Linked DNA regions of Daphnia pulex. The protein of the gene in region 2 interacts with the protein of the main gene of each other region in a pairwise test. Links are inferred from orthologs where the notes say so. Each region holds a gene or a part of one and is shown on either strand. Other genes may lie near its edges.

Region 1 (3,919 bases), on a different chromosome or scaffold from region 2:
ACACGTTGATTGGGCTCGTGCGGTTTCAATCACATTGATGGGGCAGTAGCACCAAACAAAAAATGTGGCCAACTCAAACAAAAAAAGACCAAAGAAAAGATTCAATGGCGACCCGTTCACTTTGCCGCTGCCACTGGTTCTGTGCCGCGGACGGCAAGCAAATCAATACTAGCTGGCCAAGACTAGCCCAGTCACACTGTATTCCTCCTCCCTCCTTCTCAACTGTGCGTGCGTGAATGCGTGCGCCCCGGGATCTGCGCGCGGGACTGCCACGGTTCTCTATGTATTATTTGTTCATACACATGAGGCGTCGTCGTCGTTCCCCCCCTTTTTCTTCCCTTCTTGATTTCGGGATACCCAGCAACGACGAAGAAATTTCCAGATTGATTTTTCGTTTTCGCCTACACATTTCTTCTCCCGTTCTTCCTTCAGGGCTGTCCCGTCCGCCATTCTGTCCAAACGAGAACCTCACGCTAATCGATCGGGATCACGTACAGAGAGAGATACACACTCTGTGTGTGTGTGTGGGTATATGTACATAAATGGCGGACGACAGCGAAAATATTCCACGATTCTTGATCCAATTTTGTGAACGAGAAGGTTACGTGTTTTACAATTGAAAATTGACAAAATAATTCAACTTACCCCCGAAAACATGAACGACGCTTTCTGCAGGTCGTCCCGATATTCCTCCGGCTGCAAATTGAGAAAAAAGATCTGTTGGCATCCAACGGCGTGCAGCCCGTATGAAATCAACCCGCTTCGTTCCAATGGCCCACTTTGCACTCTGTAATTATAACGCCGATTGGTCCTTCGTGTACCAATTTGTTTTCTCTCACCCCCCACTCGACACACACACACACACACAGACACCGCGTCGTCGTCTACCCTCACGTTCGTGAAATGAAGAGATTATCAGCCGAATGTGGGACTCACTCTCTTGACGAGTTGGACGATCCGGTCAAGGCTATACCCACGGTAATTCTAAATGACTAAATCAAATGACGCCGGGAGCCAGACGACGACAACGACGCTCAAAGGTTCGATAATCAGATTTGGGGGAATGAAATATGTTATGACGCTGCGTTTCAAAGATGGCGGCCGTGAGAAAGTGGGCAAAGATAATAGAAGACTTAGGAAAGCAGACTGCGCAAGAGTCACGGCCAAAAGGACGGCAAACTTTGCAGAGAGAGAGAGAAAGTTCTCTTTATTGATCGACGCCTACTTGGTGTGCCGGGATGCGCGGTCCCGCAACGAAACGAAAGCCGTGGGGAGGGACCCTTTTGTGTTTGCCGGGTTGCAGAGGATGAGAGAGAGATGTTTGTCTATTGGATCGATGCGTGCAAACGTCCAGCTCCAGTTCCGCGCTTCCATTCAAGTTTTTCTTTTACCCCTTTCTCTCTCTCTCTCCGCATCCGGAACCACTCATTATGCCATCCCTTTCTTTTCGCGTTGTTGTCGTGATTTCTCTTTTGGGTGCACATTTCCATTTCCTTCATCTTCTTTTCTTGCTGATTTTCAAATGGCGATCAAACGATTCCACCCCAGAAATTTCACGAAAGGTTTCTATCTCCAACTGCCAAAAATGAAAAAAAATGAGAAATGAATGAGCTGCTTTATGTGCAAATAAATATCCATCACTATTGATTGGCTGCTGCGGGGAAAATCCGGGCCGTCAATATCCCCCTAAGCTGGAAAGAAGCACGCCAAGGTTGCAAAGGGATGGAAGAAAAAAAAAGTTGCCATTTTCTGTTTTATAAAAATAAAGATTCCCCTAACGGGAATCCCTCGAGGTATGCCACCGTCCATAACGTAAAAGACCTTTGATCCTAAATTTTTACCTCAGCTCGGTTTCATGGGGAAATGAATTGAGAGGGGGGAAATTTGGAGTGGTGTGAAGCCGGACATGTTCGAATCGCATTCCAGTGTACATCAGATCACTCAGCCGACACATACACCCACTTTAGACGATTCGGCTCGCACGTCATCTACAATCCGATAAAAAGAAAAAAAAAGGAAATAAAATAAAAAAATAAGAAGGAAACCAAGAATTGATGAGTCTCGCTCTGTTGTGAGTGCTGTTAGCAACGTGCATTAGCCCCGGCACGTCCTTGTGATCGATTCTTTTTTCCCATCCGATGAGTTCGCCTGGCTGCTTCTTTGTCTGTTTGTGACCGATGCGCCGATGTCGTCGTCGTCGCTCGGTTACTTTTTCTTTAGATTTATTCTTCCTTTTGATTCGACACTAAGCCAACAACATCTACATCAGAAAGTCAAGGAATAATAAATATTAAGCCGATATGACTGACGTCAAGTATACGAGCAAAGGGACAAGGAAATCCTTTCATCTTCCGTCCCCATAGACACAAAATTGGAAAAAAAAAATCCTCACGTTATTAAAGAATTATAACCGTACTTGAAAAATGATGATTGGTGCGGGCGGCCAAAAGAGGAGAGGACACAACGAAAAGGACAAGGTCAGAACCAACCTGAAACATGAAATCAAGTTGCCGGTTTCGCTGGTCTCGTTTAGCTCATAAATGATGAAGGTCGATGCTGAAAATAAAATGAAAAAAAAGGGAGAAATTATAACTGTAAAATCTTTTAAAAATTTCGCCTTTCCTGTTTGACATGTCTGCAGTATATTGAATGTTACAAATACACACACAACAAACCGGCACGCAGGGGAAGAGAAGGACTGTGAAAGTGTAATAAATTGGGGCTTTTTTTTTTCTTTTTCAAAAGTGTGCTTGGTGTTGCTAATGCAAATCTGACAGTGGCAAGGAATAAATACACCTGAGGGCCACAATAAAGACGAGTTAGCAAAAAGGTTTAAGAAGAGAATTTTACAATGAACGACACCTGGATTATTTCTGAAAGAAAAATATCAATTCAATTGAAAAAAAAAAAAAAATGGGGAAAGAGGAAAAACCTTCTGGAAATATCCGACTGAATAGAGGCGTTAATCTATTCCACCGATGGCCATCACGAGCAAATGCGCGATATTTAAGAAACAAAAAACGAATATTTTTAGGCAGATACGTGTGAAAGTGTATGTGTGTGTTTTGGTGGACGTCACAGACTACCGTAGCGTATCCATGGAGGAGGCCTATAAAAGCAAGAGCGAGCTTAATTGAAAAGGAGCTTTTGCTGCTTCAAAATTGGCGATAAAGCTGTTCCGTCTCTTTTCAAGGATCGTCGCCCTGTCCTGAAATTGGACCCTGTGGATAGGTCTCGTTAAGCGACATGGACTGCAGAGGACGGACCATGTTCAAATCGATGCCACCGACGGCCCCTTCTTCGAATTCCAGTCCCGCCTCAATAGCCTCAACGTCAATTATCGGAGGGCCGTTGTGGTGGAGTCCAGTCTCGACGATGTGGCCTACCAGCACAGGCCCCAAGGGACCCTCCGTCGTAGGAGCGTGCCCCAAGGGTAAAGGAAAAGGCAGCAGTGGATTGCCAGCCGCATCCAAAGCAGGATCGGCAGCTGCTTCCGCGAGATTGGTCACTGATTTTGATTTGACGCACTGCAATTAACAAGGAGGCCAGGATATACCAGAAAATCCAATCAGCCGAAATTGGCTCCATAAATTGCACGAGATTGTACCTGAAAATCAACATGTCGACTCTTGGCTTCTTCTTTCTCCCAGGACATGTGAATGAAAGGCCGCTGGACGTAATTGTAAATAACTTCGGCGCGCCCTCCTGGTCGCTTGCGCACTTTTTCCTTATAAGTCGGATAACCTTCGATTCCCAGACGTATCTTTTTAAGGCCCCGCTCTTTCAACACTTGCTTGGCCACGTCACGGTTCTCAATGTACTTGAAAAATCGATACATGGAGGTGCTGAAGACGGCTGCAAGACAAAACGGGAAATATTACGTTACGGCCATTCTTTAGAGGAAAAGGTGTTGAATTTC
Region 2 (3,919 bases):
GGAAGAAGCTGGAACTGATCAAGCCGCTGCCACCCATCAGCAAGTCGAAGAGGTTGCCGAGCAACAGCCGGAGGAATTCAATCAAGATTTCGAAAAGCAAGACGAAAACGAAGACGACGAGGACATTTTCAACACTGAATACGTTGATATCGCCACTAGTGGCGAATTGAAACTTGCCTACGTTCCCGACAGCCCAACACTTGAGGCTGCTGCCGGCGACGATCCTTTTGACACGTCAGACGTCGAGAAACTTGTCGGGCCACTTCCCGTGATTAAAAAGAAAAAAGCGCTAGTTAGTATCGGCGCTGCTGTGGAGATTCTGACTGCAGCCAACGCTGCCGATCATCAACAGAAACAACATCACCAAGGGTCTACAGCCAGCCGACAACGAATCGTTCAACCGCCCTCCGAGATTCAGTTGCTGTGCTGTTTCGACGACAACGAGGTCGATCAAAAGCTGCAAGGCAATTCGTTGGGAGTGACGCCTTCGACCAACCACTCAGCCGGACCCAGTAGTGTGCAACAGACACCACATAGTGAAGTCCATCTCGGGGAAGAATTGGTCTCCAGTGTCGAACCTGACTTGAAAGATATCCTCGCCGAGTTTGACGTCATTCCAGAGGGCAGCGATCAGCCAATCGACGAAGATTTTGTGAAGCCTCCCAAGCCAAATCCACCCGTGCAACCTAAGAAGCAGCCAGAACTTCTCGACGAGGAGGATTTCGAGTTCGAAGCTCTCGCTTACCAGTCGTTGGCCAAACAACCACTTCCGCAGGAAGACGAAGAAGAGGGAGACGATCCATTCGACACTAGTTCTGTCGACAAAGTTTTAAAGAAAGATCAAGTCGAAACTAGTATTGTTTCCAAGAAAGCTCCTCCTTCCCGGCCTGGCGCTCCACCCTCTCGGCCTCCGCCACCTCCTTCCGCCTCAGCAATCGCAGCTATTGCAGCTAAAATCGATCGACCATCTCCCGCTCCGGTTCGCCCGTCAGCTCCAGTCAATCCGACAGTCCCACCTCTTCAAGCTCAAGACTCGTTTGACGCTCTCTTTCTCAACGACAGTCCACCCGAAAAGGAGAAGCCAACAGAGAACAAGTCTGAACGGGAACCTTTAAAGTCTCCAGCTGCTGACCCATTCGACACCTCTGCCGTCGATCCTTTTGACACATCATCCATCGATCCGTTCGACACCTCCGCAATCGATCCATTTGACACTTCGGTAGTTAATTCCGTCAATACCTCTGCCACTGGTAATACTTGTATTACCGTTTCGTCACCTGTGCTTCCGGTTGAACCTCAGTTGCAGGTGACATCGTTTGTTTTACTTGACGACTCGCCAGTTGAGGACGAAGTTGATCCTTTTGACACTTCGGCAGTTGAAAAAATTCTCAACTAAATTTTCCGCTTTTCACTTGCTCTAAATTCAATTAAAAATGGCAGCTAATCCGTTTATGATGGATGACATCAATCCAGTTCTGGGATCTGGGACCATAAATCCTTTCGCTATATCAACGACAACACCAGCACCTTCTGCAGTGTCGAATCCATTTTTTGACATTGCTCCGGCGAGTGTGAGCGCCGTCAGCAATCCATTCTTGATGGATGATGTTCCACAACAGTCGAGCGCCAATGCAGTCTACAATCCTTTTGCATCATCCACCATGGAGTCGGATCCAGTATCGGTCAACGAACATGTCGACAGTCTTGCTTGGCTGAGCTCCGGCGGGGCCATGCAAATGCAAGATAACATGGCCAGCCCATACGATCTTCCCGACGCTTCGTCTGTGCCACAACATCATCAGCTAATGGACGATCTGTTGGAGGTTGACGTTCCGCTACCAGAAGAATTGGCCGCTGACATATTGGAAGTCGCCACTCCGTCGCCAATGGCCTCTCCAATACCGGAAAGCCTCAGCAATGCCAAACCTGGCAGGCCGGCTCCACCACCTAGACCCCCGTCAAGACCGTCGCCCCCGCACGAAACTCAACAGCTGATTCTATCCGTTACGGGAGCCATGCAGGCCACTTCCGAACACTTGCTGGACCGTTTGAGAGCTACAGCTCCCAGTCCAGTTCCAGGATACCACCCACACATGCATTCACACTCGCCGTCTCCTTCACCATCGCCGTGTCCGAGTCCTACTCAACATGCCGAAGTAGACCTGCTCCACGATGATCATTTAGGTGATCACTTAGGGGATCATTTAGGGGATCATTTAGGGGAACATCCAACTGGTCCTCCGCCACGCCCCACATCGAGACCCTCTTCTCCAGCTGTCCCTCAAAGACCTCAACAACTTCCAGCTAGGCCAACACCACCCGGGCCACCTCCAAGACCGGTAGCTCCAACGACGGCCTCGTCGGTACAACCACAACCTCCACCAGCCGATAAAGGTTTTGCCAGCATTTTTGGTGAGCCGTCTCCAACATCTGAATTGGAGGCTTTAGCATTCTCATCAGCTCCAGCCAATACGCAACCAGTGGTGGAGGCTGCTCCAGCCGAAGAAATTGATTTGTTGGGGCTTCCAAAGCCCAGGACCCGCACAAATAATGATATTTTAAAGTTATTCGAAAAGAAAGAAGAGCAGAACAAAGATTTGCTGGCGGGCGATGTCTTTGAAAATACGTTTCTCGTGGATCTGGACCAGCAAGCTCCACCCTGCCCGATAGCTCCGGAAACATCTTTCGTCTTAGCCCCATCTACGCTTCAGTCGTCTCTCTTCGAACAGGAAGCATTGGTAGTAGCTCAACCGACTGTCGAAGTGGCCCAAACTGTCGAAGAAGAATCGTTGACTATGAACTATCAACAGCCACAGGAAACTCCGACGCTAGTGTATCCAGAGATAAAAAGCCCTTTGCAATCAGAGCCGATTGCTATTCCCAGTCGGGGCGATAACGATCAACCTGAGGAGTTTGACGCTTTTTCTTCTCGTTTTGAAAGCGTTGGAAGAGAGGACATGTTGATGGTTGAAAATGATCCGTTCGACCCGTTTTCAGCTGGAGGCAGCGCCAAGGGTAGTTCCGGTAAGTTATATTTAAAATCCGTCAATTTGTCGTGGATAAATGTTTTAAAAAATAATCATATTTGTGGTTTAGTATGGGGAACTGCCACTGGAACACCCGAATCAAGCAGCTTATTAGGCTTTGGAGCGAGCGAAGGTTTCGATCCGTTTTTGGCTCTAACCGAGCCTCCACCACCTCCGCATGGAAGCCCACGTTTCCCGTCATCTCATCGTCAACTCTCACACGATTCCGACGAAGAACAACCGGAATTTGCTCTCTCGATCAAGTACGCGATTTAAGTTGTATACCGCATATTACTCGATTAACAGTTTGATGGCATTATTAAAGGCCTCGTAGCGAGGGATTTTCGGACGGTAAAATAGGATTAGCACTTGCCCCTGCTTTGGCACCGCCACCCAGAATTCCGATTCACACAACCAGCAGTGACGAGTATTCTCCTCCCAAAAGCCTGAATCCATTTTTGGTTCCGGAACAGGTGTCTGTGGTAGCACGTAAGTTTATTTTCATTCCCTAGCTTCTCGAACGGTTTCTGACTATTCATTTCTTCGTTTCAATAGACGAACCGTATATTCCTCCAGAGAGGAAGTCGACGGTAGTACGCAGGGATTCAGAGGACTCGCCTATGACACCTCTCTTCGACGAAGATCAGTCGGTTCCTTTAGAAGTATTCCCGCGCGTGGAATACACCGGTCAAATTTGGGAGATGCAGTTGCGGCAACCCAACAAAAAGAAGATTACTAGCCAGAGGTAAATAACGTGATTTTCATTGTTTTGTTCAATTTTATAAGCAATGAAATCAACTCTTGGACATCACCACAGATTCTGGAAGAAAGTGTTTGTCAAATTGGGAGTCCACAACGATCTCCCTGTGATACAGCTCTATAGCAATAAAGAC

What was found.
Region 1: the proteins of protein stoned-B-like (region 2) and synaptotagmin 1-like interact in binary tests that used the Drosophila melanogaster proteins (3 or more experiments, as listed by UniProt). The link is inferred for Daphnia pulex from reciprocal best matches to the Drosophila melanogaster genes stnB and Syt1.

Annotation. Positions count from the first base shown.
Region 1 is NC_060019.1:9,141,090-9,145,008, forward strand, and holds the start of synaptotagmin 1-like, read right to left. Parts: upstream 2,529-3,919; 5' UTR 2,417-2,528; intron 2,261-2,416; 5' UTR 1,642-2,260; intron 1,577-1,641; 5' UTR 646-1,576; intron 267-645; exon of another isoform or gene 1-266. Other genes in the region: BTB/POZ domain-containing protein KCTD20-like, read right to left, coding at 3,189-3,527, 3,608-3,855. UniProt on the Drosophila melanogaster protein: May have a regulatory role in the membrane interactions during trafficking of synaptic vesicles at the active zone of the synapse. It binds acidic phospholipids with a specificity that requires the presence of both an acidic head group and a diacyl backbone.
Region 2 is NC_060020.1:4,185,711-4,189,629, reverse strand, and holds the start of protein stoned-B-like, read left to right. Parts: upstream 1-1,433; coding exon 1,434-3,024; intron 3,025-3,096; coding exon 3,097-3,289; intron 3,290-3,351; coding exon 3,352-3,515; intron 3,516-3,581; coding exon 3,582-3,771; intron 3,772-3,843; coding exon 3,844-3,919. Other genes in the region: protein stoned-A-like, read left to right, coding at 1-1,396. UniProt on the Drosophila melanogaster protein: Adapter protein involved in endocytic recycling of synaptic vesicles membranes.